Canis lupus familiaris: one gene and its partners. The main gene of each other region encodes a partner of the protein of the gene in region 2 in a complex. Links are inferred from orthologs where the notes say so. Each region holds a gene or a part of one and is shown on either strand. Other genes may lie near its edges.

Region 1 (6,276 bases), on a different chromosome or scaffold from region 2:
AAAAAAAAAAAAAAGAAAGAAAGACACAGATCTCTATCTTAGAAAACGTACCCTTCAGTTACAACAAGCAAATGGCAAGTATTAAATATGGCAAAAGAAGGAACTTAATACTTTAGTTTTCCCTCCATACATGTATGAATATATATTACTCATATATTCCCACTTGCATGTCTTAAGTTACGATGTAAATATTCCAAAATGGCTTGAAAGCCACTGGCCTAAAAAGATGAAAATAAGGAATAATAAAAAATGATCTAACACCAATAAAAGCAAAGAGCAATGATATATTAAAGTACTTTCTACCATGTATACTTGGCAGACATTACTGCTGAGTAATGAGTAACAGTTTTTACAATCCTAATGAAAAAAAAAATTCCAGAAGACTCTAAAAGGGCAATAGTAAAGCAGGAAAACATCAAAGAAGATGAAGCTTGACAGAATGGAAAAGATTTTGACAAGTAGAATATTCTGGATAAAGTTGACAAAATCAAACAAGGAAAAGAAAATTTGACTAGAAAGCTCAAAAGAATCTAAAGAACCATCTGCTGGGGATGAAAGTTCTGAGAATTGATATAATCCCAAGTAACAGTATATAAAGAGATGGGGCAACAATGAGATTATCACATACATCAGAATGGCCAAAGTCCCTAAGACTGACAACACCAAACGCTGATGAGGATGTAGGACAACAAGAACTCCCATTCATCACTGCTAGCAATGCAAAAGGTACAGCCACTCTGAAAGACAGTTTGACACTTTTTTTTACAAAAACTAAACATATAATACAGCAATCATGCACCTCAGTATTTACCCAAGAGCTGAAAACATGTTCACACAAAACCCTACACATGAAATATTTAGACCAGCTTCACTCACAACTGCTAAAACTTGGAAGCAACAAAGACATCCTTCAGTAGGTGAATGGGTAAATTGTGGTACATCCAGACAATGGAATATTAGTCAATGCTTAAAGAAAAGAAAAAAAAGAAGGCTGTCAAGCCATGAAGAGACATGGAAGAAAGTTAAATGCACATTATGAAGCGACTGAAGCCAATGTGAGAAGGCTACACGCTGTATGATTCCATCTATATGACGTTTTGGAAAGGCAAAACTAAAGAGTTAATAAAAAGATCAGTGGTTGCGAGGAGAGGAAAGAAAGTGATGAGTAAGTGGAGAATAGAGGATTTTTAAGGCAGTGAAAATACTCTGTAAGATACCAGTAACGACTGACATATGTCATCATACATTTGTCCAAACCCAGACAATGTACAACACCAAAAGTGAGCCCCAATGTAAACTATGGGCTTTGGGTGATTATGATATGCCCATGTAAGTTAATCAACTGTAATAAATGCACCACTCTGGTGGGGGATGTTGATAATGGTGGAAGGTAAGCAAGCATGTGTGGGGGCAGAACATCTCTACCTTCCCCTCAATTTTGCTGCAAAGCTAAAACTGCTCTTTAAAAAGTCTTAGTTAGGGGATCCCTGGGTGGCTCAGCGGTTTAGCGCCTGCCCTCAGCCCAGGGCCTGATCCTGGAGTCCCGGAACCGAGTCCCACATTGGGCTCCCTGCATGGAGCCTGCTTCTCCCTCTGCCTAGGTCTCTGCCCCTCTCTCTCTCTCTGTCTCTCATGAATAAATAAATAAAATCTTCAAAATATAAAAAATAAAAAGTCTTAATTAAAAAGAGAGAGATGGGAAGAGAGGTCAGACCTTGGGGATATATTTCGAGGTACAAGTAGCAGATTCAATAAAGGAAAAAGGAGAAAGATAAAGAGCCCCTAGATACTACATAAGAAAAGCCAGAAAGCAAAAACAGCTTCACAAAGCAACAATATCAAATGCTACAAAATGAGAAGAAACCAATGAATTTTTACAAGATCGCAATTTCGAGACCCTAAGAAAATGCGGATGCAAGCTAGAAAAGGGTTCATATTTTAGTGTGAAGCTTTAATGTTTTCTTCTAACTTCCTAATTGGAATCCCAATAAGTAGAAAGCGTTTTCATCAAGACAAGGAAGGAAAAAGTAGAAAAATTTTAGATTTTATGGCAGACAAGGAGATTGGTGACAGCCATGACATAATCTGAGGGCAGAACAAGAGTGTTCCATGAAAGGAGAGCTCTGAAGACAAACCAAGAGTTCTGCACTCAAAGAGTTCTAGTCCCACTTGGGTACTACATTAGGAGGGATTCTAAGATGGCCCACACAATTTCCACCCTGTTAAGCCCATGATTAGGGTTGCAAGACAAAAGGGATTTTGCAGGTGTGTAACTCATCAGGTGACTCTGAGTTAATCAAAAGGGAGGTTTTCCAGGTGGGCCAGGCTAATCTTAAAGCCTTTTACATGCTGATCTAGAGATCAAAAACAGGAAAGTTAAGAGAGACTTCTGAAGTCAAAGAGATAAGCTCCTGGTAGCCTACAAGAAAGCAAACATCCATGTCACTGAGCAACACACTTGGAGCAAACTCTAAGAGAGTTAGGTGACAGCAGGAAAGAAAACAGGGACTTCGGTTCCTCAGGTGCAAGGGACTGAATTCTGCCAAAATGAACTTGGAAGAGGACTCTGAGGTCCAGATGAGCACCACAGCAGTCAATGCCTCAACTGCAACCTTGTGCGGCACCGAACAAAGAATCCAGACCATTCATAACCAGAAAGTCTAAGAATAAATGGGTGCGGTTTTAAGCTGCTAAGTGTGTGACACCTGTTATGCATCAAAAAAGAACTAATACAGACCCTACTTGCCTACAAAAGCTGCTTCTATCCTGGCAACAAGTAGGGAGACAAGCAAACTTGAAGGAAAAAAAAAAAAAGCCTGACATGATTTCTCACTCACTCTGACTAGAGATTTTGTTCAATTGCTGCTTGGTGTGCAATACATCTTCCAACATATCAATAATTCTGAAAACTGTGAACAATAGAAATAGAAGTTTATTTCCAACTTTAGAAAAGTACTTTGACAAGCGTGCAGATGTAAGTCACTGGGTGTCTAGGCTTCCTGGATGTCTGCCAAAGTTGTCCCAGCACCTGGAGAAATACATCCCCAAGCTAACCTCAGAAATGAGCACAAGGTCATGACTCCTGTTCTTCCTCAGTACCCAGAGTTTTTACTTCATAAACTACAATCTCTCATTTTTTGTCTAGAGTAAGAATACCTCAGAGGCTCTCTAAGCTGCAAAAAAGAAGGTCCTTCCCGAGTAATTACAACCTTGACCCCTAAAATGTGGACTCTAACAGTCCCAACACCTCCTTATTAAAGATGCAACAAGCCAAGGCTATAGGCGTTTCCTGCTGGGAACTGTAGTTCTCCCCGCGACCTTCAACCACTGGCTGCGCGAAACCTATCACGAGCCCAACCGGCAACCCGAGCGCCAGAGCCACTATTGGTCCCTGCCTGGGGCAGCGCGCCGCTGATTGGACGACGCGTCCCCGAAGCCGCGCTGACGGTCCTGCGCCCGCCTCCCCACCACCTTCTCTCCACACCCCATCCCGCTTACAGCAATAACCCTCAAATCATCCCAGTCGGGCGAACCCCCTAATCAACTGCTTCACGGGTCGGCCCAGGACTCCCGCGATGAGGGCGGCCGCGAAACACGCCTCTCTCCCGGGGCCTAGTCAGAGCGAAAGCCTCTCCCATTTTCCGTTGGTTGGCCGGAGTCCGCCTCACCACGCGCTCTCCCAGCGCCCCCGCGCTCACCTGGGCGGCGGCGGTCACACCCGATAACTGACAGGCCCGCAGCATTTCGGCCGGGCTTGGGCACGGCTGGCGTACGAGGGAGCTGCCGCGGAGGCGTTAGTAAGGGAGAGCGTGCGTACGTCCCTGCGTCCGTGCCGCCTCTCCGCGCCGGTCCTACCGGAAGGGCAACAAACGCCGCTGCGCACGCGCAGCCCCCTTTCTCGACCCCGCCCAGGCCGCCCGGAGAGGCGCCCCCCCCCCGCACCGACCCCGGGCGGAAAAGGCTATTTCTCCTTCCGGGTCGCCTTCGGAGTTCTGGTCTGTATCCGCCAGAAGGGGTTAGTAGGTGAACCCGGAGGGTGAGAGGAAGCGCGAAACTCGGGCTTTGATCAGTGCGGATAGAAGATGTTATTCGTCGAAGAATTCAAGGAAAAAAACATCCCGGCCGCATTTGTCAGCTGGGTATTTCGTAGAAAGCAGACGGTTTGGCGAAAGTTACGTAAACAATGGTGTTTTGGTTTGCGTGTTTGTTTGCTTTGACAGCCTTTCTTCAGGGAGTCATCCTGATTATGGGAGATTGGGAGGACGAACACTGGAGAGACCTTTGTGCGGAACGCGTTGTTCGCGCATCTAATAAATGGCAGAGCAGGGATAGAAACCCACATCCTTCGGGTTCCACCGCTTCTACTCCTAGATTTAAGCCACACTTATTTTCCCACTACGTTTTCCTTTTACAAAGATAATTTTGATGGAATGCGTCGGAAGTTAAGGAGATCAGTGTAGAAAAACTCTTCAGAGTATTCCACGGAGTCTGTAACCAAGATTTAGTATGTTAAATATTGAACACAGTATTCAATACTGTTATTACTAATAATGATCGTACCATCACAATATCAAAAGAAACTGAATAACGTGTATATCCGTTGCATTTGCTAAGTGCTTTTAGGTCTTAACTAGGCTATTTATCACAGCATGGTGTTCCTAGAGTTACGGTGTTTTACAATATGGTGGTATCACAGTATGATACTAATCCCACTTGTAAAATGGAGAAAGGAATTTGAAAATTACCTAAAATCAAATACTTATGTCCGTATATATTCATTGCTTTTCAGGGTGCTTTAAAAATTACGTTACGCTCTCTAATTTCATATCCCCATCACCTAACAGCCCCCAAAGCAGTCTCCCGTTTTTAAAAGTAGTTTTAGCATTAAATTGCAGTCTCCCCAACCCCTCCCACCCACCCCCCGTCCCTGCCCACTGCTGTTCTGTTATACGGGGTGATGCCAGTGTAATGAGTTTTCTAATATCTTGGCCATAAACCTCTCAATATCAAATAAGCAATTTAAATCTACCCTAACCGGGATCCCTGGGTGGCGCAGCGGTTTAGCGCCTGCCTTTGGCCCAGGGCGCGATCCTGGAGACCCGGGATCGAATCCCACGTCGGGCTCCCGGTGCATGGAGCCTGCTTCTCCCTCTGCCTGTGTCTCTGCCTCTCTCTCTGTGACTATCATAAATTAAAAAAAAAAAAAAATCTACCCTAACCGTGTGTGGCCCAGCCACATCCTGGGCCTGAACATCGTTACCAACTTCAGCTTCCAAATCTCAAGCTCCAAAATTAATTTTTGTTGTTTCCTCATCTCCCATTTAACCAAATCCTTAATCTTCATCCTCCACGTGCAATTTATGGATTTTTTTTTTTGCTTTGAAGTGGACTCCCCCAAAGTAACATACAAATTTAAATCATTCCTCTGTTCAAAAATGTGCAAGGACTTCCATTATCAATTCAAAGAGTATTTGTGAAATGTCTCAGTACTTTTTCAATACATGAGAATATGTTTAAGGCTCAATTTAGCCATCTTAGGTGGGAGATTAAGAAAGCAATGATAGTAGTCAAAGCTCATCACCCACTTACATACCCTAAAACCCAGAAGAATTAAAGGATATGACTCTCCTCAGTTGGTTCTCAGAATGTGAACGGGGACCACTGGGGAGTCTGAGACCTTTTCAGAAGATCCATAAAAATCAAAACTACCTTCATAATATTAAGATATTATTAGCTGTTTTCACTCATTTCTCATAATTTTACAGTAGAATTTTTCCAGAAGCTAGGTGACAAGTGAAATTAACAACAGACAATGCATAAGCAAATTTCAGAATCCAGCTACTAAACCATACTTTAAAGAGATTTGCCGGGATCCCTGGGTGGCACAGCGGTTTGGCGCCTGCCTTTGGCCCAGGGCACGATCCTGGAGACCCAGGATCAAATCCCACGTCGGGCTCCTGGTGCATGGAGCCTGCTTCTCCCTCTGCCTGCGTCTCTGCCTCTCTCTCTCTCCTCTCTGTGCATTCTCATAAATAAATAAATAAAATCTTTAAAAAAAAAATAAAGAGATTTGCAGAAAAAGTTAGGAAATGATACTGTTCTCAGTATTTTTTTGGGGGGGGAGAGTTACTTTTCATGAGTGTATTTTTGTTATGAAAATCATAGTTTTTTACTAAGTATGGTAGGCAGAATAATTATTCCTGAACATAGCATATTTTCCTAATCCCTGTAACCTATAAATGTTACCTTACATGACAAAAGAACCTTGCAGATGTG
Region 2 (6,060 bases):
TATCTGCCAACTTTCAGGGTTCCTCTCTATCTTACCCTTTTTTTATTAAACTCTAGGGCTTCAAAATTAACACTGATCACCCTTTTGGGACCTTGGCCTCACAAATGCTTCCACAAAGTTAAGCCCCATAATCGGGACTGAGATCACATAATTTCAGATCTGACTCTACTCTTTACTACTGTGTGACTGCGGGCAAGTTATGAAACCTTTCTAAGCTTCAGTTTCCTTACCTGTAAAATGATGATAACTGTATCTATTCATAGGGCCACTGTGAAGCATTAGAAAATTCATGTAAAATGATCAGCAAAATGCCCAAACCAGTAAATGCTTAGTAACTTAATAGCTGTGATAACTATTATTATCTTTCCTCTATATTAATTTTTGGCACATTTCCCCTTGTCACCAAACCAGCTCAGGCTTCCTGACTGTTTCCAGTTTTATCAAGATATAATTGACAGTCTCCTGACTTTTTTATTTTTATTTTTTAAAGATTTTATTTATTCATGAGAGACAAAGAGAGAGAGAGGCAGAGACATAGGCAGAGGGAGAAGCAGGCTTCCTGCAGGGAACCTGATGTGGGACTTGATCCCAGGACCCTGGGATCCCACTCTGAGCCAAAGGCAGATGCTCAAGCACCGAGCCACCTGTCATTCCTCTCCTGACCTTTTTATTTTTTTTTAATTTTTTTTATTTATTTATGATAGTCACACAGCAAGAGAGAGAGAGAGAGGCAGAGACACAGGCAGAGGGAGAAGCAGGCTCCATGCACCGGGAGCCTGACGTGGGATTCGATCCCGGGTCTCCAGCATCGCGCCCTGGGCCAAAGGCAGGCGCCAAACTGCTGGGCCACCCAGGGATCCCTCTCCTGACCTTTTTAAATGAAAATACACCTTTTCTGGAATTTGTTACCTGTATCCCAAGATTTATTTCCTTCCTTTCACCACAACACTTTTCCAAAGAGTAATATACCCTTCCTCTCAGAAGCAAGGAGTGGTGGAAGGATCATGGACCTTGGAGCTAAATACACCTGTATTTGAACCTTTAGCAGTTATGACCTGGAGCAAGCACTTTTTTCTAAGCCTGCTTTATCATATATAAAGTGAGGATAATACCCCATTTCTTAGGGTCATCAAAAGGATTAAAATGAAATAATATATGTAGAGCAGCTGGCCAAAGTAAGTGCTAAATTATGGCCAGTTTCCCTTATCCTTTCCTTAACCTCTTACAATCTAGATTCTCCCTCTACTACTTTATTTATACTAGTTTATCTCACTTCAGCTCTTATTAGGATTATGATTTGGGGCAATTTACTTCTCTCAACCTTAGTTTTTCATTTGTAAAACAGTGATCATAGTAACTACAAAATAAAGCTATCTTGAGATTAAAGTGAAATAACAGAGGTAGATAGAGTATTTTAGCATGGTGCCTGATCTCATAGGAAGCAATTAATAAATGGTAGTTTCCAGTGACTTATTATTGGCCAAACTGTTCAACTCTTTCCTCTAGGCTTCAGTGACAACACACTATTCTGGTTTGCTTTTTACCAATGACTACTCCTTCTGTCTCTGTACCTCCTCCACGAAGTCTTTATTCTCCTTAACCAGGTTTGAGTTCTCTCTTTTGAACCCTTAGATCACTTTGTACTTCTCTTGAGGCAAGGCACTTTTTTTTTTCTGAATCAGAGCACACTATCCCATTGCCTGGCATTTATTCCTATAGCTTTTTTTTTAAATTTTTATTTATTTATGATAGTTACAGAGAGAGAGAGAGGCAGAGACACAGTCAGAGGGAGAAGCAGGCTCCATGCACCGGGAGCCCGATGTGGGATTCGATCCCGTGTCTCCAGGATCGCGCCCTGGGCCAAAGGCAGGCGCCAAACCGCTGCGCCACCCAGGGATCCCTATTCCTATAGCTTTTATTGAGTACCTAACGTAAGTCATACCTGTGTTAGGGATACAAAAATTAATGTCTTAATTATTGTCCTCAAGCAGCTTATAGGAAGGTAGAACTGGTAAGTAAATAGTCTATTATTTAAAGTGTGATAAGTGGGGGATCCCTGGGTGGCGCAGCGGTTTAGCGCCTGCCTTTGGCCCAGGGCGCGATCCTGGAGACCCGGGATCGAATCCCACGTCGGACTCCCTGCATGGAGCCTGCTGCTCCCTCTGCCTGTGTCTCTGCCTCTCTCTCTCTCTCTCTCTCTCTCTGTGACTATCATGAATAAATAAATAAAATCTTAAAAAAATTAAAAAAAATAAAGTGTGATAAGTGCTAAGATAATAAAAGTATGCCCAGTGTCCTCTGGAAGCACAAGAAAAGGAGTTATTTAAATTAAACTGGGGAAGTCGGGAACACTACCTCGGAAAATGCATTTTGTGCTTAGTGTATGAGGAGGCAGTAAACAAGTAGCTGTTAAATGAATGAATGGACTACAAGTAGGAACTAGATGAGGATGTTTCCCATCAAGTCCAGAGATCTAGCGGGGGAAAGGCTTGGAGTGCAGATGTTAAAAGATTTCCTGAGAGACAACAGATGAAGCTGAAAAGCCAAGGCAAGGATGGGTGTTCCAGACATAGGAGTCTGACCTGACTCCAGAGAACAGATGAAGGAGTGCCAATAAAGGTTTTTAAGTGGGAAAGGGGTATAATTAGATTTGCATTGTAGAATAAGTACTCTGGCAGTTCAGGGAAAATGGATTCCTTGAGAGCTAGGCTAGAGACGGGAGTCCAGTTAGAAGGCTGTAGTGATAATTCAGATAAATTATGAGTACCAGAAATGCTGAAATGGAGAATTGTCAATCAAGATGGACACTGAGTCACCTTAAACTTTGGCTGAATTATTCGTATTTGTATCTTCTACAAGCAGTACATTTTACACGTAAAACCGGCTACAAATATCCACCTGTAGATATTTGTCAACTACTATTACTGAAACCTATTTAAGGAACCGCAGCTAGCAGCCAGCTGAGTCACTTCCGGTACAAAGATTCCTAAGTATAGGCACTTTTTCCCAGTACAGAACTCAAAAGGAACTCAAGTTTATTATTCAAGCCCGGAAAGGAACAACAATAAATACAAACACCGCGCACTGCAGAGACTTTGTGACATCTCCATCCTAGTCTATTTCACCCCCAAATGTTTGAACGAAGACTTTCCAAGGGCCAGGAGATTCCACCCTGTGTGCCCAATCGAATGCCCGGGATTCTTTTCTCTTTGTTTCAGTTCAATACCTACAAGTCTGCCGCTGCTTGTCTCCAGGCCAGCCTTTTTTGCCCAGCCTTTTCCCAGTACCACCGTGCCGCTGTATAAACAGTTAACTGCAGAAGACTGAGGAGGGAGTACTGTCCCAGGCTAGGGAAATCCAAGGGGGAGAGGTAAGTGTTTTGAGGCTTCAACCGTTTCTGATTCCCTGACCTTGCCGATTCTTTCACAACCCCATTTCCACCCCGCCTCTTGCTCTCTCCACCGAGGAACCAGGGCAGGTTATCCGGGTTTTGTTTCAACTTACCCTAACAGCCGCCATCTCCGTGACTTTCTGCGTCTAGATTTTCATATGGTGGGCAGAGAAGGACAAAACTGTTCAACTCGGCTCACCTCTGGAGCCCCGCCTGGTTACGTCCCTGGTCCGCTGGCTCCGCCCTTTCTCCACCCTCCCAGTGCGTCTTTGAGAAGCTGCCACAGTTGGCCGGCTGTCTATCGGTAAAACCGTTCATCCACGTGACTGTTCCAATCCTCGATAAAGCCTTTCAGAATACCCTGCGTAATCCAGTTGAAAGCTATTTTGCTGGGTGCAGAGGTTTGCACTATTTTCGTTGTTTCATACCTATGTGATTTGTCTAGATAAGGATCTAAAATCCAGGTCCAGCTGCAGTAATGAAGAACTATGTAGTCAGCTCCAGGCAAATTGAACAAAACTTTCTTAAATGTTTAAAGAGAAAGGAAAAGAGTTTTATTCAAGCCCAAGTTAAAACAGTTGCCTGAAAAAAAAATAAAAAATAAAATAAAACAGTTGCCTGGAAATACAACCTTCACAAAAAAGAGAGTGCTCCCGGGAAGGAACATTTAGTGGAGGGTTATATATGTTCTTTTCATAGAAAGTTACAGATCATCTTGAGGAAGGACATTCTGGAAGGTTAAAGACTTTATCTTATGTTTTTAATATGTGCAAGGCTGTATGACTTTAATCTTATGGGAACCAGGGAGATTTTTTTCTATTTTTATCTTTATGTTTGGAATGCTCCTTTGGTTATTTTTTTTAATGATGCATATGTGCAATAAGTGCCAGGTGCAGAAATAGAGTCCATATTTTGAAGTTTTGCAAAGTCATTTTGACCTTGGTAAACGTCAAAGAGTTATATTCTCTGGGACTCCAGGAGCAGGACCCACAAACACATGAAAAGTTGAAAATGTTCTTTATTTTATCAATTACTAAAAGAACATTTACCTCTGCGATAAGTGGTCAAGTTCGTACATTCTAAAACTATGTCACTCTGAGCCTCCTATATGCCAGGCATTTGTTCAACATATAGAATAATACAATGCCTTCCCTCATGGAGTTTATGTTCCCAAGAGAAAAAGACAAATAAATGTTCAAATGCTATAAAGGAAAATAAAACAGTATGGGAATAAGGTGAGAATTTACTTGTTTAAATAGGTTAGGGAAAGGGTTTCTGATAAGCTGACATTTGAGAAAAGTGCTGACAGAGTTTAGGGAAAACGGTTTCATGTAGAAAGAACAATAAAGAAAAAAGTCCAGCATGGCCTTTTTATTTTAGTGCCAACTATATACCAGGTATCAGTAACATAGCTAAAATATTTGACATCCTAAGCAGATAATTTTTTAATGGTTTCATCCTCGATATGACAAAATTATTTTAAGAAGTAATGGTGGAGGTGCCTGGGTGGCTCAGTCAGTTAAGTATCTGCCTTCAGCTCAGGTCATGATCCCAGAGTCCTGGGATCAAGCCCCACATTGGACTCCCTGCTCAGTGTAGAGTCTGCTTCTCTCTCTGCCCCTCCCCCAGCTCTCTCTCTCTCTCTCTCTCTCTCTTTCCAATAAACGGTAAAATATTTTAAGAAAAGAAATAATGATGACTCACTAGTATTTTATCTTATATACAACATCTTTATGCATTCATCTATCAATGGACACTTAGATTGTTTTCATATCTTGGCTATTCAGCCATAAAAAAGGATGAAATATTGCCATTTGCAACAACATGGGTGGATTTAGAGGGTATTTTGCTAAGTAAAGTCAGACACGGAAAGACAAATACCATGTGGTTTCGCTTATATATGGAAACTAAATAAGAAAAGAAATGAGAGGGCAGCCCCCGTCGCGCAGCGGTTTAGCGCCGCCTGCAGCCCAGGGCGTGATCCTGGAGACCCTGGATCGAGTCCCACGTCAGGCTCTCTGTGTGGTGCCTGCTTCTCCCTCTGCCTCTCTCTCTGTCTCTATGAATAAATAAATAAAATCTTAAAAAAAAGAAAAGAAATGAGAAAACAAACAAAAAGCAGAACCAGACTTATTAATACAGAGAACAAATTAGTAGTGGCCAGGAGGGAGAGGGTGGGGATGGGCAAAATGAGTGAGGGGAAGTGGAAGAGACCTCCAGTTATTGGGAAAAAAAAGTCAGGATAGTAAAAGGTACAGTACAGGGGATACAGTCAGTGTTATTGTAATAGCGTTTTATACTGACAGATGGTACTACACTTGTGGTGAGCATATCATAATGTATAGAGTTATTGAGGCACCATGTTGTACATCTGAAACTAATGTAACATTGTGTGGCAAATATACTCAAAAATATCAATATTTATTAAGTAAGTAAATATTAAATATTATAATAAATATTCTTAAAGAAGGATACAATTAAACTGATAATAAAGGCCATAAAAGATATTGAATTTATTTAACTTCATATCTATCTATCATAAAAATAAAACTAAATAGTGCAGTACAAAAAAGGAAAAAAGTAATGGATCAAAGTTTTCTAATTGTATTAATGTATTTTTTAAAGGAAAATGCATTTAAACCTGCATGCTGGTCTACTGCATAATAAAT
Region 3 (6,211 bases), on a different chromosome or scaffold from region 2:
TAGGTATGAGAATATGAGTGATTTTATGCAAGTGGAGGGAAAGCTATCAACTGTGAAGGATAAAGGAAATAAACACCATGAAAATAACACCTGGTAGGTGAGAATAAACTTTAAACTTAAAATTGTTAAGTAGGCCCTTTAATTGCTAACCATTGAGGACATTTTCAGCAAAAAAAAAAAAAAAAAAAAAAAATCTGGGAAAACATTATCTATTAATAAACACAGCCTAGTTACTGAAAGCCTTATGTTGCTTACTAAATGTTACTCTTCCTATATTAAGATAAATGAAGATGAAATTACTATCCTTATCAGTGGAACGCAGAATTGGTTTTCCAGCAGTGACTTAGTCTGTGAATTGCTGCTACGCTCTCATTTCTTATGAGTGATGACATAAATATTAGACAATTGGACAAATCTGGAATGTTTTCTTCAGCTAAGTTGAACGAACCTATCTGCAGTTCAACGCTGAAGCTTGGGCCTCATCGGCACCTCGCTTTAGTCAACTGAGCTAAAAACAGTGGCTCGCTTATGATACCAAGATTGTTGCTTATCCTTCCCCATGCCTCAGAGGGAAACAAGAGGACTGTTTTGAGAGGAAGGCAAGGCAAGGCAAGAGGGTGTATTTTAGGAAAAATACAAAGATCGGCTGAAAAATTTATACAAAATGCCTAAAGGGAAATCACACAGGCAATCAGCTGCAGAACTAAGGACTCCTTTTTCTCAGTCCACATCTTTAGGTATGCCTGTGGGAGCACAATATGCTCTTATTTAATCATTTTAAGATCAATGTAAATTTACATACCCATTCCCTTGAACAACTCTAATAATACCTACTACTCATGTAAGTACTAAGCATTGTCAAAACACTAAATGCTTGTATACCACAAGCAGGCTGCAGTATCTAAACATACTGAACAAGGAAACCTAATCAAAGTGACTTGTCCAGGGCCACTGAGCCTAGTGAGAGGCAGAGCTAGAACTAAAGCCAGGTTGGCCAGCTTCCAAAGCAAGTGCTCTGGCCACTATTCTAACTACACAGCACTTCCAGAGAACCTTCAAATATTAGATGTGAAGGAACCTTACCTAACAGCTGCTTTTTATTAAAAAGCTACAACGTGCCACGTGCTTTAAATACCTTATCCCATCTTCTTACCAAATATGAAGAAGTGACTTGTCCAAAGCCGCAGAATGATAAACATCTAATCTGAGACTCACACCAAGGTCTGTTTAACTCCAAGCTGATGCTTTTTTGAACAAGACCCCAAAGAACTCAGGATGACCCCCAAGTACTCAACAATTCAAGAGCGTGCCATTTTTAGAGGAAATTGCAATGGGCTTGAGTATGGCTACAAGAAACTTATAGTGCCACTAGACTCACAGAATTTCAGAACCAGAAAAGATCAGAGGTCTCAGAGATGTACTCAAGCCCCATCATTTTGCAGATGAGCAAACTGAAGCACAGGGATGCAAATCAACCTTGAAAAAGAAGGATTTGAAGCAAGTGGGAGACCACTGCAAGGGCATTCCAGGTGAAGGGTGTATCCTGAAGTGAAGCAAAGCACAGAGGTCAAAGGGGGCATGGTGTGTGCTTGAATCATAAATACAATGCCCTCTGTGAGAAAGGACAAAAACAAAGAATACTTCTGTCAAGTCGTGTGTTCAAAAGACATAGTTTCTTTTACTTAAAAAAAGTGGAGAAAAAGTTTTTTAAACAATCTCCTCATTCTAGGCTAATATCTACCCTATTATCATCCTTATAGTAGCTAACCTTACCTAATATTTGATATGAAGGTCTGTGCTGTGTCCAAATTTTCTTTTCATTTTGTTTGCTCTCATCACTGTGTCTGTCTATAGCAGGGCGTGAGAACATGGATTTAACTATTGTTCTAGCCAGTGACTTCTCACCCAGAATTTGCTTTGCTCTCCCTTACTTTTCATTTTCACCCTTAGGTATGGAAAAGTCAGAGCCTAAGGCAAGGTTAAACAAATCTCTGCATAAAACGCAGTTTATAGTAGTTTTTATTTTACTCCAAGGAGTACCAACTAAACCACAACAATGCCATGCAGCCTCAGACATTCTGTTACAAAACGTGGTACTGTCATTAACTGATATCAAGGAATGGTGGTCACAGACCAAAAACTGAGGTCAACAGTTTGAGCTTCTATAGAGAAAGCTTTAATAAATTCTTCTCACGGTAACAGTTTCAGAGTAAAAGTTCTTAAACATTTTAAGTATTTAAGAAGTTTTATTTCCTGGTAACAGAACTAAACACAATTCACACATTTCATTCCCTTATGCGGGTTGTGTGATAACAAGGAAGGAAAACTTAACAAATGATAATGGAACTTCCAGAAGTGAAACTGCTTCATTGACCAGGTTCGAGCAATACTCTCAACACTGAGAGGCTCCCGGTTCAGGTGCAGCGAAGAGCGTTCAGTGCAGGTAGGGCCGGTGTACCGACACCCCGGGGGGAAACCAAGTGTTCCGCTTGCTCGCCGAGCACCCGCGGGGGGCGTTAAGGCTTTCCCGGCGACGTGCGGCTGGGGACTCACCGGACCCCACCGGCGCGGCGGTCTCCCAACACTGCAACCCTAGCTCAGGCTAGTCCGGCTGCCTGGCAGGCGCCTGTCCTGGAGCAACCGGGCCTCGTCCACAGAGGAGGCAAAGAGGAGGCGTCAAGCGAAAGCCCAGAGCTGGAAGGCACCCGGGCAGGCCCCAAGTCTGCGGCGTGTGCGTGTGCGTGTGCGTGTGCATGTGCGTGTGCGGCAACCGGGGGCACGAGACGGGGGCGCTAAGGAGAGGAGAGCGGGCTTTCCGCGAAGCGCCAACGCACCGAGAAGGGTAACGGGGGCCGGCGCAAAATGAGGTCGCGATCCTGAACCCAGGAGGAGTTCAGACAAGCCCCACTTCACAGAAGGCAAGGCCGGGGCTTCGGATAAAGCCCCCCGGCTCGTGGGCACCTCGGCCAAGCCCGGACTGGAGCCGCGCGCGGGGCAGTCGGCTTCCGCGTGGCGCTGCCCCCACCCGCCCCAGCGCCCAGCTCAGCGCCTGGCACGGGGCCAGGGGGTCCCTCTGGATGGACGTCCCGAGTCTTGAAACTTCAGGCTTCCTTGCAGGCAGGCAGCTCGGCTTCGGGCCGGACAGCACTGGGGGCCCGGGCGGGGGGACCCCGGCTGAGCCGTCCCGGGCAGGCCCGAGTGTGGGGTCCGGGCCGGGCGCCGGGCGCCGGCCCTCCGCCCGCCCGCGGTCACTCACCCGGATGCCCTTCACCACGGTGATGTTCTCGTTCTCGTCCGCCTCGAAGGTGACCCGGCGGGTGCTGGCGGCCCCGCCCATGGCTCCTGCTTCTGCCCCCGCACAGACCTGGCCCGGGCGCACGAGGAGTTCAGGCCCCACGCGCACACACGCGCGGGGACGCACCGGCCGACGCCTTCCTCGCGCGGCGGGAGCAAGGCCACGACCCCAACAAGCAAGGAGAAGGCGCCGGTCCTCGGCTCCCGCCTCCTCCGGTCACGCGCCGCAACAAGCGTGCCTCCGATTGGTCGGAGACACGAACGGCCCGCCTCTATTCGGCGGGGGCGCCCGGATTGGTTGGACCGGCCCCGGAGGCTATGGCAACAGGTGCTGTCTGACCCGGCTTCCGCAGCCCCCGGGTGTACTGGGAATTGTAGTCTCCCGTCCGGCGCGGTAGCGGCTGGGACCTTCTTGCCTCGGACCCAGAGCGCGAGGGGCGCGCGGCATCCTGGGAGATGTAGTCTGGATTGTGCGCGCGCTTTGTAGGCGGGCGACTTGGAAGGAAGTCCGTCCCTCTAACGAAACCTACGTTTTGGACGTGTGGCTCCAGAGACGTGGGTCGGGGACGTGGGGCGTACAAAGTCTGTCCTCAGGGAACTCGCGGTCTGCCCAGGGAGATGCTCTGTCCTAACGGAGCCATTCCTAGATTCCTAACACTAGAAACATGAGGCAAAATGTAACATTCATTTTAGCCTGAGCCACAAAAACAATAAAAATCCAGAAACTCGCCCTGTGGCCGTACTCAGGAGGACCGTGTACCACGCACCGTTCTGTTGACTTTCGTGAGATGAAGTTCTAACTACTGTGGCGTTCAGGTCCGCAGGCGCGGACACAGACCGCAAAGCGCCCCCGCGCCTCCTTCCCCGTCCGTTGCCGCAACTGCTTAGGCCGGGATGCGACGAGGCGGAGGAAAGCGCAGCCGCTACCACGAGCGGCGGGCGTTGGGGGAGGAATCAGAACCACAGCAGACGAAGCTGAGATCATTTATTCTGGAAGGTTTCTAGTTCAGAACTTCGCCTCTGCAAGACCAGTAAATAACTTTTAAGTGACATACACACATTTAGAATTCTTACCGGGGTACCCCAGTGGCTTGGTCCGTGAAGGATCTGGCTCTTGAGCTCGAGATACTGAGTTTGAGTCCGACCTTGGGCTACATGCTAGGCATGGAGCCTATTAAAAAAAAAATCAAATCGATATCTGCTACGTACCCTGTGACCTGTAACTCCAGTCAAATGACTATAGTCTTACAGAGGCAGATTTAGAAATGAGGCTAATGATGGTGCCATTCTTGAATCCCTGTCAACATTAAAAGCAACCAACCACGACACAGCATGGCATCCTCCTATTACAAAGGCATTCAGAAAACTTGTAATGATTTTTTTTTAAGTTTTATTTAAATAATCTCGACAGCAAGCATGGGGTTGGAACTCATGACCCCTAAATCAAGGGCCGCATGTTCCTCGAACGGAGCCACCCAGTCACCCCTTAAACCGGCTATTCATTACTGGAGGAATCTTTAGAGCCAACACTGTGTCTTTCATCTCTGTGTCCCTGGTCAGCAGTAGAGTAATGAATTTATTCCATTCATAATTTTGTTATTTTTAATATATATGTTTCCAAATTGTATTATGTTATTTTGTTCTTATTCTCAAATTGTATAATATATTTAAACCTTTCTTTTACAGGGAACTAAAAATCCCAAAGATTATGTCTTTCTTGGGCACATTCCCTCCCTATATGTACCCTCCTCGCTTATTACCCCAATACATAGAGCAAACTGGAGGTTCTACATAAAACAGATGCTCAATTAATTATTACCAAAATAACTAATTACAAGAGTTTAAGGAGAAAGTAGAGATATGAAGGAATCACTAATTATATTGAATACAGTTATGATGGAATGCCTGGATAGCTCAGCAGTTGAGCATCTGTCTGCCTTTGGCTCAGGGCGTGAACTCAGGAGTCCCGGGATCGAGTTCCACATGCGGCTCCCTGCATGGAGCCTGCTTCTCCTTCTGCCTGTGTCTCTGCCTCTCTCTGTGTGTCTCTCATGAATAAATAAATAAAATCCTAAAAAAAAAACCTTTAGAATTAATAATCCATTCCAAACAACATTACCGAAAAGAAGAAAGAAAGAAAGAAAGAAAGAAAGAAAGAGAAAGAAAGAAAGAAAGAAAGAGGAGAAAGAAAGAAAACCAAAAACAAAACAAAACAAAAACCTTGAATTGAAAAAAAAAAATACATCTTTTTCTTGGAAAAATGCCTACTATAACAATAGTGACCTACCTGTATCAATTTCAAGGCCAAGCATGCCTACAGTCCCTTCTAAAGAAAATGTCTTGAGCTACCTAGGACTTGTGGTCTCCCTTTTTCTCTGGCCACAGCTTATTGGTGATCATCTAATCCAAAAGCATTATCAATTAGCCAGAGACCTATGAACTAGAATGCAAAGTTTTACCTAACCAAAAATAATAGCTAACACTTGAGCCACTCAGATTCTATACACCTTTTCTCTATCTCTCTATTGCTCTCTCAAATTTAAACTTGAAAATTCAGAGCATACAAAAAGATAGCAAAGAGAGAAGTTTTGATACTGAGTCAGAGATGTCATCATGGTAAACTAAAGAGAGGTCGGAGCAGAAACTGTAAGAATATAAGGTATCTGGATTGGACAAAAAGGAAAACTATATTCTTGGATGGCACGACCTTATAAATACAAAAATCCCAAGAAATCCACTAAAAAATGATTAGAGCTAATTTTAAAAATCCAGCAAGGTTGCAGGATACAAGATCAACTTACTAAAATCAATTGTATTTCTATATAATAGCAATTAACACACCCAGAATGAAATTAAGAAGACAATTTCATTTATAATATAAGCAGCAAAAACAACTCAAATACTCATGAACTTACAA
Region 4 (5,802 bases), on a different chromosome or scaffold from region 2:
ACCCTCCCCATCTCATTTAGGACAAAAGCCAGGCTCCTTGATGCTCAAAAAGGCCCCACGAGGACCAGCCCCTCTTGCTCTGTTTGCCAAAACAGCGCCTCTTCAGCATTCCTTAGAAGGAGCCAGACTCCATCCTGCCTCAGGGCCTTTGCATTGGCTACTCCCTCTGCCCGAAATGCTCTTCCCAAATATAACCCAATGAGTTGCTCTCTCACTTCTCTGAAGTCAGCACAAAACTGACCTTCTCCAAGGAAAACCCCCTGGCCTCCTTTCCTAAAGTACCTCCTGGTCCCTCTCCCTCCTCTTGCCTCTAAAACTTCCACGCTCTCAGCACTTGCCATGATCTGAAATCATCCTGATGATCTGTTACATGCTCCCTGTCCCTCTCTCCTCTTAGAGCGTCAGCTCCACGAGGCAGGAAGGAAACGGAAACTTGCTTCTGCTTTGTTCGCTGTTGGGTCCTCAGTGGCCCCCAAACTGCCAGACATGGAGCAGATGCTCGACAGACACGAGACTGGCCCTGAGTGATGTGACGAACATTGGAAGTGACAGCTGGGGGGACCCGGAGAGATGACTCTGGAGACACCAGGAAGGAGCCTGTGTCGTCACGGTTAAGATGTGACTTGAGCTGTGGGAGTGGATTTACTTGTTCCGGGGAGAAGGTGAAAGAGAGAAACAGGCCAAGGACTTCACGATTCAGGGGGGCACGAATCTTCCCCCAAGGAAGGCACAGGCCCGTCACATCCTGGGGTTTCTGTTCTCTGAACGCAGTAGGGGTAGAACTGTAGAACTGAGAGATGGTGGGGCTGGGGTGCCCTCAGCTCTGAGATGTCTAGATCCTTCGACCTACTGCCAACTTCCAGCTGCCTCCCCCTGCCTCCCCCACCCTCCCACTCCCTCCTCCGCACCCTATGCTCTCCGGGCAGCCCAAGACATATTTACCCAAAGAAATGTGACTGCCCCTTGCTGCTGCAAACCCTCTCAGGGCTCGCCACTGCCCCTCGTGGAGACCGAGCTCCTCACCCCGGCCCACAATGCGCCGCGGGCCCGGCCCTGGCCCACCTGTCCCTTCTCATCTTGCCGGGTTCCTGTCTGTGACTCTTTCTCAGCTCTCCGAAGAGTGAAGTCCTCGCCCTTCCCCAGTCACGGCAGCCATCCCACCTCTCCCCGCTTTCCAGGGGACGCCCGTGAAGTCCCGCAACTTGACCCTCTTCCACCCTGACCACAGCAGCCACGCGGCGGGGGCGGGGGCGGGGGCGGGCGGCCGGCTGGCCGTCTGGGTGGATGGGTGGGTGGATGGATGGACGGAGCAGCCGGCCGGCGTCCCATGGGGACGGAATTGGGAGAACCAGACCCTCGCAGAACGCACTGGTCCCCTGACCTCACAGAGCCTCAGTTTCCCCTCTGGACAAAAAGGGCGTGCGACGTGCCGCGCGCTCCCAACCTCGTACTCACCCACTCGGGCCTCAGTTTCTCCCGCCGTCCAGCGGGGCTGGGGTCCGGGCCTGGGAGCCCGGCGCGCACCCCTCGGACTCGCACCTCCCTACGCTGCCGGCTCCGCCGGGCCCCCGACCGCGCCCCCTCCCGTAGGGTCCGGGTCACGTGACACCGAGCCCACCTCCGCAGGGGGCGGGGCCTGGCGGGGGAGCGCGGCGCCCGGGCGTTGCCCGGCAACGGCCTTCCGCCCGGCTCGCCCTCGCCCCGCCGTGGTCCTGGGCCCGCCCCCTGGACGAAAGCCCCGCCCCCGAGGCAGGCACGTGACCGAGGGCCCGCCTCCCACGCACAATTCCGACCTCGCGTTGCCGTGACAACCAACCATCTTATTGGCACACTCGCCCTGGGCCGGGGCCCTCGGTCCCCCGCGCGGGCGCGGGTGGATCTCCCGGACTCCGACGCCTTCTTGGGCCACTGTCGGGCCTCAGTCTAGACGCCCGACTCCTCTTTTCCTCGCACGCCGCCGGAGCCGCGCCAGACCGGACTACATCTCCCAGCAGTCTCGGCGGCTGGGCGAGCCGTCCGGCGCCTCACGGGGGTTGGTCCTGACTCCATTTCCCAGGCAGCCTTGCGGCGTCCGGGCTCTGAAGATTACACTTCTCAGAATCCTTTCGCTGGAGGGCTGCGGAGCCTCTCCGGCGTTTTGCGGCCGCCGCGCGACTTCGACTCTCACAGGCCTTTGCGGCTGAGTCGGGCGACTACGTTTCCCAGAGGCCTCTGCGGCGCAGTCACCGGAAGCGGCGGGCGAGTCGAGTGTCCTTGCGCGCGGAGCCGAGCGACCATGGTGCCCCGAGTGTGGTCGCTGATGAGGTGCGTGGGGCGGCGGGGCGGGCTCCGAGCCCCCGAGAAAGCCCCTCCCGTGGGCACCCCCCGCCGGGTTTGCTTCCGGCTGGGTCTTGGAGTTCCGTGGCGTCGGGTCCCGCCTCGGCCTGACCTGAGGGTCAGGAGGGGAGGGGCCTCCCGCGATCCGGGGCCGCAGGTGCCTCCCCTGGACGGCGGGAGTGCCGCCCGCGCTGCGCCAAGACCCCGGGTGCCCGGGGCGACGCGCGACGTCCAAGGAGCGCCCAGGGCCGCGCGGGACCCCGCGAGGCACAAGGCCGGGGGTCTAGGCCTTCCCTCGCCGCGCCGTGTGCGGATCACGAGTGGGCCTCAGTTTACCTGTTAAACGGGGCCGAGGGGCTGTGCTCTGTGCAGTGAGGGGAGCGTTGTGCCAGGCGGTGCCCGGCCGCCTCCTTGTTCTTCCGTGTCCGCTGCCCGGCCTCGCTGTGTCACTCCCCGGACCCAGGCGCCCCGCGTGGGCCAGGAGCCCGGGGCTGCCGGCAGTGCCGGGGAGCTGCTGAGCCGCCGCCCTGCCTCCCCCCCCCCCACCACCGCAGGTTCCTCATCAAGGGCAGCGTGGCCGGGGGTGCGGTCTACCTGGTGTACGACCAGGAGCTGCTGGGCCCAAGCGACAAGAGCCAGGCTGTGCTCCAGAGGGCCGAGGAGGTGGTGCCCCCAGCCATGTACCAGCTCAGCCAGTACGTGTGCGAGCAGACCGGCCTGAAGATGCCCCAGGTAGCCCCCGGCGGCGTGTCCGTGTCCGTGTCCGCGTCCTCCCACGGGCTCGGTCCTGCGAGGCTGGGGCCGCGGGGCCCTTCCCCTTCTCACCTGCCCCTTCTCCCCTCTCTTCCCAGCTCCCAGCCCCTCCAAAATTTAACTTTCACTTCCGTGACACCTGGAACTCAGGTAGGCCCTGGTCCCCGTGCTGGGGGGTGACCCCTGCCACCGCAGCCTCACAACCCTGCCACCGCTTGCTTCCTGGTCACTCCTTCCCGTGGCTCCCCGTGCTGCCCTGCACCCCTGCCACGGATCTAAAGGATCTAAAGAGGGTGGAGATTTCAGGGAGGGGTGAGCCAGAGGGAGCCTACTTTGAGGACAGGTGATCTCAGACAACATGAGGCCCTGCCCCCCCCCCCGCCTCAGTTTCCCCATGTGGGACCGATGGCGCTGGAACTGGTGCCTCTCAAAGCCTTGTGGAGCTCGGGTTTCCGGGGGGCTGGTGTGGGTGGGCGAGACGCGGTGGCTGAAGGCGCTGGGGCCTCCCTCTCCACAGGGATCCTCACGGTGATGTCAGCTCTGTCGGTGGCCCCCTCCAAGGCCCGCGAGTACTCCAGGGACGGCTGGGAATACCTGAAGGAGCGGATCAAGTAGCCTGCCAGAGGCCACCTGCCCCAGTCAGGAACGGGGGCAGGGGCACCAGCGACCTGGAGACTCCAGACTGGGACTGGGACCCCACTCGAGGGCAGCTCCCGGCCTTGCCGGCCCAATAAAGGACTTTGGAAATGCTCCCCGACCCGTGTGCTGGCCCTGGGGGCTGGGGGTGGCCCGGCTGGTGCCCAGAGCAAGGGGCCTGGGCTAGCAGCTCCTCAGGGCCTGACCTGGACCACAGGTGTTGGTTAACCCCTTTGCCGTCCGGACCCCACTGCTGAGTCTCCAACCTGGTGCGGGGCTGGGGGCAGACATTGACCCTGGAGCTCCACGGACAGTGCTCAGGGGCCCAGGAACGGGTTGAGAAAGTGCCGATGCCGGCCTTCCTGGAGGGCTGAGCCCAGGGTGGGGGCTTTGCGGGGCTGGGGGCCTGGGGAGGGGCATGTTCATCTCCCCGCTGTCTGCGTGGCCAGGAGTTCCCGGGGCCGCTCAGTGATCACCGTGTGTAGAGCTGCTCACGAGAGCGACTGCAGTCCCCGCAGGACGGGCCTGTGTCCCCGGGGAGGGGGTCATGACGTGGGGGCTGCAAAAAAGCAGAGATGGCCAGGTGTGGCCCAGGGGCGCCGGGCAGGCAGGCAGGCAGGGCTTCAGGAAGCACCTGGCCACCCCCAAGGCAGCCGCACAGCGAGGACGAGGGTGGGCCGTGTGGTTTCCAGGTGAGGAAAAGGGCGGAGATAGAGGCACCTGTCTGAGGGCACAGGGCAGGCAGGGCTGCGTCTCTTACAGACGGACACACGTACCCCGAGGGCTGCTGGGGCCTCAGGCTGCTCCAGGCCCTGCGGGTCCCTCAGCAGCTCTGAAGAGATGCCTTCCCCAAGCCCTAGGTCTGTTTGCACTGACGCCCCCCCCCCCCCGCCCCCGGCTCTCGGCCTTGTGCCCTTCCATCCACTTCCCAGGTCCAAGTCTGAACATGTCCCTGCCCTCCTCGGAAACCCTCTATGGCTCCCTGCTGCCTTCCCCTTGAGCCCGGACTCCTCCAAGGGGCCCCATTCCCAGAACGCAGTTGGTCTTCACCACTGGCCTTGGCACCCACTCAGCAGGCCATCCTCCCTCCTGACTCTGGCTCATCCTGCCTGCAGCTTAGCATTGGCCTCCTCTGGAAAGCCTCCCGACCCCTTCCTCCCAGCCTGAAGTCAGGCACTCGGCCCAGGCCCCCCGACTGCCCTGTGGGTGTCCTATCAGGGCCTTAGCACTGCGAGGCAAGGTCGCCCTACCTCAGCCTGGGCACAGTAGGTGTTGAACAGCATCCCTGCCTCCACCCCCGAAATGCCAGTGGCACTCTGTCCCCTGGTCCTGACGGCTGCAGACGTCTCCAGTTGCTGCCAGGTGTCTCCTGGGCAGTCATCCCAGCAGACGAGCACTGCCTTGGGAGTTTGCTAGTCTCCCGTGACAAATGACCAGATTCAGGGGCTTAAAAGCACACGTCGACCGGTTCACAGATCTGGAGGCTGGAAGCCCACCACGGGTCTCACGGAGCTAGGAGGACAGGGCTGGCTCTTTCTGGGGACAGTCCGTATCTGGCCTTTTCCAGCTTCTAGAGGCCACCACACTCAGCAGGAGTGCCCCCCCCCATCTTCAAAGCGAGCTGTGGAGCGTGTGGGTGTCCAGCCCCCCCCCCAGCTCTCCTGCCTCCCTATTCCCCTTATAGGACCCCAGTGAGGACACTGGGCCCCAGAAGGGGCTTCTGGCCCTTTAGGTTACCATGCGCACAGGCTTGGGGATAAGGGTGGGTGGGGTGATCTGTGGCCCAGGTGGGAGGGGGTTTTATTTGCTGCCCCTGCCCCCCACCATCTGAAGGCTTGGTCACGTGTCTGTCTCCCCCCACATACACCCATACCCCATTGTGGACCCTGCGGGAACAGGGGCCCAGGCTGCCTTGGTGGTTAGTGTGTTCCCAGCCCCAGACAGGCTTGGACTCCACAGTGATGTGTCAGGGAGGCAGCCGGCCTGTCACCACTGCTCCCCTGGACGGGTGGACCCCAACATGAACACAGACCAGGGCCCACAGAGACGGAGCCTGGTGGACCTGAGGAGCAGCATGGCCCCACGTACGGGCCTTAG
Region 5 (6,311 bases), on a different chromosome or scaffold from region 2:
AAAAAAAAAAGAGGGACACCTGCGTGGTTCAGTGGTTGAAGTGTCTGCCTTCGGCTCAGGGCATGATCCTGGGATCCAAGATAGAGTCCCCACATTTGGGATCCCTGCGGGGAGCCTGCTTCTCCCACTGCCTGTGTCTCTGTCTCTCATGAATAAATAAATCTTTTTTAAAAAAATAAATAAATAAAAAGAAAAATCACCATCACTGAATAATCTTTCCAAAGCGCCACTCCTAATTATAGACTTGCAATGTTGCCTCCAAGGAAACATATAGACAGCCTTCCCCGGCACTCAGAGTCCATCCCCTGTTCAGCCTCCACATCCCAACCCCAGTGTGGCTGCCAAGTACATGGCCTGTGGAGCTGGAAGGTCTAGCCTCCAGCTCTACCACTAACCAGCTGTGACCTTGGGTTACTTCACCTCCTTGAACCTGTGTCCTATCTGAGATGGGGAGAACAGCTCACAAGGTCAGCGAGGGGAAGGTCTGAGCTAGTGCTCAGAAAACACAGCTCAGCCCACACTTCTCACGGCTGGCTCTGGTGCATCTTCAGTGTCCCCTCCTCAGGGTGGCAGTGTCTGCCGTCCCACCTCCAATGGGGAGTCCCCGTTACTTTGCACACTTTTGTTTCCTTCAGCACACTTGCAGTGCTTTTTTATTCTTTTGACTTTTTCTTCCTTTTGGTCTGTTCCTGCTACTGGGCTGAGGTTTCCATGAGGGCGAGGATCTTGTGCTTCGTTCATCCCTTACTGTCTCTGCAAGGCCAGGCCCAGTACCTAACAAGTAACGTGTTCGTATTTATTGAGGTGACAGGTTAAGTGGGGGCTAGTGGGGCAGTGCTCAGGCATAGGGCTTCTCTGGCAATGGCATGTTTGGGGACTATTTCTTGTGCATCTTTCTACATCCTCCTTGGTCCTCCCCTAAAGCAGTGGTCCAAACTTGCCTCATGGAAAACAATGGATAATGGTAAATGTGATGTAGCCCTGAGAGCGTAATGAGCCTGGGGACATAAGGATCATGCAGCAGGCCAGCAAGTGACTTGGAAAGAATGGCAGCAGTTGGAAGGGGAAAAGGCTGGAGAACAGTGAGTCTACATGTTGAAAAGCAACCAACTTTATCTGCATTACCAAATATTGGCTGTTTACATGGGGCAAAGAGGAAAAGTGGGCACACACAGGACATTATGACCATGCATGCACCTTCTCTCATTGGAGGATGAGGTTAAATAGACTGGATAAAAAGTAATCTTTATGTATTTCACACATGCTTGCTCTGAAAACTGCAGTTGAATATAATTGCAGCATTTTGCATTAATTAAATTTCTTTTACCTTCCTTGGAATTAGGGCTTGAACTCAATATGTAAATTTATGCAAATTAATTGCAAAGTAGCAAGGCCCTAGAACTGAATCTTAAGGAAACTAGAGCACTTTCCAAGATCAGGGCCTGGGGATTAAATATGAGTGTCTTTAAGAATATTTAACTTTCTCTGAAGAACCTGGGGCAGATACTCTTCTCTGGCATCTACCTTCTATTAAAGTAACTTCTCATTTGGCTCATCTAACAATCTCTACTGATTTTTACTTGCCTGCTTAAGGAGAAGGTGGACTCTCCAACCCTCAAGTAACTCTGCTAGTAGAAAAAACCCCTACACCAAACACTTCATTACCATCACTTCCTTTTTCAAATCTCCCTCCCCAAAACCAGGCACAAAAGTGCAAGGAAGGAAGGGAGGAAGGAGAGGAAGGAAGGAGAGGAAGGAGAGGAAGGAGAAGAAGGAGAAGAAGGAGCTCTCATAGTATGGGGCCATACTCTGGGCAAGTCATTCTTCTCTCTGATGAATCTGCCCAGCATTCAGTCACCAAAGCTCCCTTCAGCTTCAACAGTCTCTGGGAGAAAACAAGTGGGGTACCAGTACTGTCAGAACAGGCAGAGGCTGTGACACACAATTTTCAGGCTGCCTTGCCTATTACTTAGGAAAGGAGCCTGGAGTAGTGAGAAAAGGCTGTTTCTTGCACTCAAAAGATCTGGACTCAAGCCCCATCAGCCAATCAGGTAACGCTCTGAACAAATTCTTTAACAGCTCTAAGCCTGACTTTCCATCTTTAACAAGAACTTCTACTTTGCAGAATTGTTAAGGGCACTAGAAACAAAATGTAGTAGTCTGATACGATGGCCCCCAAAATGATCTTCTGTCAACTCAGAGGAACTCACCTTCAAAAGGACCCCCTTGAATCTCAGGAGACCCTGACTGACCTAACCTTCCAAACTTCCCAAACACTGGATACCAGGTGACAAAGGTGAGAGCCCCCAAACAGAGCCAAGGGTGTTCTTCTAAATTCCAGTTCAGGCTCCTACTTCTCAACCTTCAAACATGGGCCATCTGCTCCCTATTTTGTCTTCTCTGGAGCCAGGTCAAGACTAGATAACATCTAGCAAGCACCCACTGTGCTAAGCACTAGACTAGACTAAGAACAGAGGCCATCACAAAACACAAGCACTTCTAAACACTTCCATATACATCTTCATCTTATCCTAGGCAGTACCTGGGATTATACAGCCTCCCCTAATTTTCTTAAGAATGTGGTCATTGAGACTCAAAAGAGAAGTTGTTCACCCAAGGCCACATAGCTAATAAGCATCTGCCTGGGAGTCAGACCTCCTGATGTCTTTTTCTGAGCTACTCTCTAATTCGCCTATACTCAGCTCTGCATTTTGTTTGGATTTGGTGGCTGTTTCACTGGGCTTATCCATTTAGCCACCCAACAATCATTTACAAACCACAATGTGCCAGGCACAAGTGCATGAAGTGCAGCATTCAATCAACAGGCCCTGGGGTTGGCCTGCTTCAATCGCAGCTCTTCCTCTTGTTGACCTGGGCGGAGTTACGTCATCTCTCAGTGTCTAATCTGTCCTTAGTCTGCAAAATGGGCAAACAGTGTTCTACCTCTCTCACCGGGCTGTTGAAAAGTAAATGAGAGGTTGCCTGTAAAGGACTCAGTGGAACCCATGGTCCCCACTAAGCACTCAAATGTGGGCTGCTTTTAGACTTCTCCTAGGTTCTGGGGATGGAGTCGTGACTCAGAAATGAAGCTTAGCCTCAAGGAGCTTACACGTGGTGGGAAACACAATAAATAATCAAGTTTCCAATGGTGACTCACGCCTACTAGGAAAAACCACGTGTGACGGAGGGAGGGGGCTACTTTAGAAGACTGGTCACCGAAGAATGCTCGGATGATCCTCACCCCGCCAACAAGAGGCAGATCCAGGAAAAGCTGGGGGAGTAGAAACCGCCAACGCAGCGGTGAACGCCAGGAGCCGCCCCTGGAGCCGCCCCTGGAGCCGCCCCTGGAGCCGCCCCTGGAGCCGCCCCTGGAGCCGCCCGGGCCAACGCCGCGCAGTCGGAAGGCCGCGGGGCGGGGCGCGGGGCGGGGCGCGGGGCGGGGCGCGGGGCGGGGCGCGGGGCGGGGCGGGGCGCGGGGCGGGGCGGGGCGCGGGGCGTGAGGGGCGGCCACACGCGGCGGCCTGGTCGGGCAGGGAGGTGGCCCCTCTTGGTCTGGAAAGCGCCAGGCCTCCGCGGGGCGGGGGTGAGGGGAGCAGGGGGGTTTGTGATCTGATTCACAACGTCTAACTGCTCCTGGGCTGCGGCGTCGGTGAGCGGGGAGCGTCCACGCCTGCAGGCGTCTGGGCCCAGAGCTGCAGTGCGGAGAGTCGGGTCCGCCCGGGTCCGCCCGGCAACGGCAGCTGCACAGGTGCAGGGGGCCCCCTCCCCTCCCCTCCCCTCCCCGCTCTCGGCCTCGGCCTCGGCCAGCGGGGCTGCGACGGCGGCCTCTCCCGGACGGCGGCCCCGGGCAGCCCCCGGACCTCGGGCCCCGCGTCCCAGGCGGACGCTCGCCGCCGCGGCGCCGGGAGGGTCACCGAGCGAGGCGCGCCCGCCCGCCCGCCCCCGGCCCGACCCTCCCTCAGGCCGGCCCGCGCCCCCCACGCCCACCCGGCCCAGGCCGCGCTCGCTCGTCGCGCCGGCCGGCGGCCCGCTCACCCGGATGCCCTGCAGCACCCGGACCCGCTCCTCCTCGTCCATCCCGAAGGACACCCTGCGGGCCTCGCAGCTCTCGGTGCTCCCCATGGCAGGAGGAGAGCGGGCGGGCGGCCGCGCGACCCGGCTCCAGAGCAACCGGGCGGACGCCGGGCTGCGGCTCCCTGCGCGCCCCGCGCTGCCCGGGACTCGGGTGCGGCACAAGCCAACAAGACCCCGTCCTATTGGCCGCCGCTGCCAGCTCAGCCAATCCTGCGGCGCGTGCCTGAGGGGCATTGTGGGGGTTGTAGTCTGGACCGCCGGGGCTGCCCGTCGGAGGCGTGGCGCCCGGGCGGCGGGAAGCGTGTTGGAGTGCAGCAGGCAGGGGAGGGGAAGATCGCCCTTGAAGCAGAGCCGGGGGCGATGTTGAAAGGCCGGGAGCCCCCCGAGGAGTTGAGCCAGCCATGCGAGGGCGACCTTGGTTCATTCAGCAAACCCCTTTTGAGCAGCGCTTACCAAGACGGAGCAAGCATTGAACCAGCCGTGGGGAACAAGACGTCCTGCCTTCGTGAGATTTAGACCTAATGGAAGGAACAAATGAAAAGACAAACAAGCAAGCACATAAATAAGCTTACTAACCACTGTGACAAGTGCCAGAAATGGAAAAGACTATCACAATGCCCCGTGAGAAACTAGTAGGAGGGGGTCTCTAATGTGACAGACCAGAGCAACCTCTATGAGAAAGAAGGATTTGAATTGAGACATAAGGATAAGTAGGAGTTAGCCAGGAGAAGATGAGGGAAGCACTTGGCTGGGAAACAACCAGTGCAAAGGCCCTGAGACAAAGAAGACCTTGCCGCATTTAAGAAATACAGGGCTTAGCCACACGACTGAGAAGTGCAAGGGAGCAGAAGAGAGCCAGAGGCAAGAAGGTGAAGGGAGCAGGAACGTCTCACATCACTAGGGCCTTATAGGCAGGTCAGAGTTTTAGTCTACTTTTTTTAAGATTTTATTTATTTATTCGTGAAAGACACACACACAGAGGCAGAGACACAGGCAGAGGCAGAAGCAGGCTCCATGCAGGGAGCCCGATGCAGGACTCAATCCTGGGACTCCAGGATCACGCCCTGGGCCAAAGGCAGACGCTAAACCGCTGAGCCACCCAGGGATCCCCAGAGATTTATTCTAAATACCCTGTTAAGACGGTGAATGCTCATAAGCATTGAGGAAACATTGGTCAGGGAGCATACATGTCATGCATTCAGGGCAGTGTATCAAGCACTGTGTTTATGCTTACACAGGATCATATGTGTAGTGGAGGAACACAAATGATTGTGAATTATAGCCATAGTGACATTGAATGAAGCCTCGTTTTGTTCAACCAAGTTGCTAAATGGCTTTGATTTACAAAGTGGGCCTGGAGCTGAGTTTTTTTTTTTTTAATATTTTTTTAAGATTTTTATTTTATTTATTTATTCATAGAGCCAGAGAGGCAGAGACACAGGCAGAGGGAGAAGCAGGCACCATACATAGAGCCTGACGTGGGACTCGATCCAGGGTCTCCAGGATCAAGCCCTGGGCTGCAGGCGGCGCTAAACCGCTGCGCCACCGGGGCTGCCCCTGGAGCTGAGTTTGAAATCTTGAACTGAGAAACCCTAAATTGCTACATGAAATAGCAAGAGTCATTTGGAGCTGCTTTTGGGAACCTGGAAAAGAAGGAGTGAGGAGGAGAGAGTGAATGAGAGAGACCAATGAGAATTAGGAAGCCAATGAACATTCCAGAGGTAGGGCCAGAGGATTTTTATGAACAAGGATATCTGCTACTTCCATTCAAAATACTTTGATTTGTAAATCTCTCTCCTTCCTTTCTGTCCTCCATTTCTTCCATATAAGCAGAGCGGGAGAAGGTGACTCTGGCTCAAGTGGCTTATTGGAAGGTGCCTCAGGAGAAAGAAAGTAAGAGAACAGGATGAAGTGGGGTCAAAGCTGGAGACTGGCTTCCACCTAATGCTAGGCAGGGCTGGGTGGGGGCAAGGCTCTGGAGAACAAATTAAATACAGAATTAGCCTCATCCTACAACAAGGGGACAGGCCTTCTGTCCCCCATGTCAGTCAATTATTGGCAGCCCAGCACAATTCCCCAGTGAAGGGGGCATCTGTGAGTTGTCAATAGCCACAACCAGACGCTGGGGGATGGCCCCACCAGCTGGTAAAAAAACCTGGGTGGGGAACTTTAAGCATCCACTACATGCTCCACATATTTTTGAAGGTCTCCCAAACACTCAAACACCTATGGCTGTG

What was found.
Region 1: APOOL (region 2) and IMMT share a complex: the UniProt entries of both Homo sapiens proteins name them as parts of the mitochondrial contact site and cristae organizing system (MICOS) complex. The link is inferred for Canis lupus familiaris from reciprocal best matches to the Homo sapiens genes APOOL and IMMT.
Region 3: APOOL (region 2) and CHCHD3 share a complex: the UniProt entries of both Homo sapiens proteins name them as parts of the mitochondrial contact site and cristae organizing system (MICOS) complex. The link is inferred for Canis lupus familiaris from reciprocal best matches to the Homo sapiens genes APOOL and CHCHD3.
Region 4: APOOL (region 2) and MICOS13 share a complex: the UniProt entries of both Homo sapiens proteins name them as parts of the mitochondrial contact site and cristae organizing system (MICOS) complex. The link is inferred for Canis lupus familiaris from reciprocal best matches to the Homo sapiens genes APOOL and MICOS13.
Region 5: APOOL (region 2) and CHCHD6 share a complex: the UniProt entries of both Homo sapiens proteins name them as parts of the mitochondrial contact site and cristae organizing system (MICOS) complex. The link is inferred for Canis lupus familiaris from reciprocal best matches to the Homo sapiens genes APOOL and CHCHD6.

The regions. Positions count from the first base shown.
Region 1 is NC_049238.1:39,248,733-39,255,008, reverse strand, and holds the start of IMMT (MICOS complex subunit MIC60), read right to left. Parts: upstream 3,872-6,276; 5' UTR 3,744-3,871; coding exon 3,699-3,743; intron 1-3,698. UniProt on the Homo sapiens protein: Component of the MICOS complex, a large protein complex of the mitochondrial inner membrane that plays crucial roles in the maintenance of crista junctions, inner membrane architecture, and formation of contact sites to the outer membrane.
Region 2 is NC_049260.1:66,055,309-66,061,368, reverse strand, and holds the start of APOOL (MICOS complex subunit MIC27), read right to left. Parts: upstream 3,599-6,060; 5' UTR 3,520-3,598; coding exon 3,505-3,519; intron 3,348-3,504; coding exon 3,231-3,347; intron 1-3,230. UniProt on the Homo sapiens protein: Component of the MICOS complex, a large protein complex of the mitochondrial inner membrane that plays crucial roles in the maintenance of crista junctions, inner membrane architecture, and formation of contact sites to the outer membrane.
Region 3 is NC_049235.1:4,054,874-4,061,084, reverse strand, and holds the start of CHCHD3 (MICOS complex subunit MIC19), read right to left. Parts: upstream 3,511-6,211; 5' UTR 3,338-3,510; coding exon 3,257-3,337; intron 1-3,256. UniProt on the Homo sapiens protein: Component of the MICOS complex, a large protein complex of the mitochondrial inner membrane that plays crucial roles in the maintenance of crista junctions, inner membrane architecture, and formation of contact sites to the outer membrane.
Region 4 is NC_049241.1:54,735,614-54,741,415, forward strand, and holds MICOS13 (MICOS complex subunit MIC13), read left to right. Parts: upstream 1-1,782; 5' UTR 1,783-2,275; coding exon 2,276-2,304; intron 2,305-2,870; coding exon 2,871-3,048; intron 3,049-3,167; coding exon 3,168-3,219; intron 3,220-3,586; coding exon 3,587-3,684; 3' UTR 3,685-3,821; downstream 3,822-5,802. UniProt on the Homo sapiens protein: Component of the MICOS complex, a large protein complex of the mitochondrial inner membrane that plays crucial roles in the maintenance of crista junctions, inner membrane architecture, and formation of contact sites to the outer membrane.
Region 5 is NC_049241.1:896,410-902,720, reverse strand, and holds the start of CHCHD6 (MICOS complex subunit MIC25), read right to left. Parts: upstream 4,223-6,311; 5' UTR 4,123-4,222; coding exon 4,036-4,122; intron 1-4,035. UniProt on the Homo sapiens protein: Component of the MICOS complex, a large protein complex of the mitochondrial inner membrane that plays crucial roles in the maintenance of crista junctions, inner membrane architecture, and formation of contact sites to the outer membrane.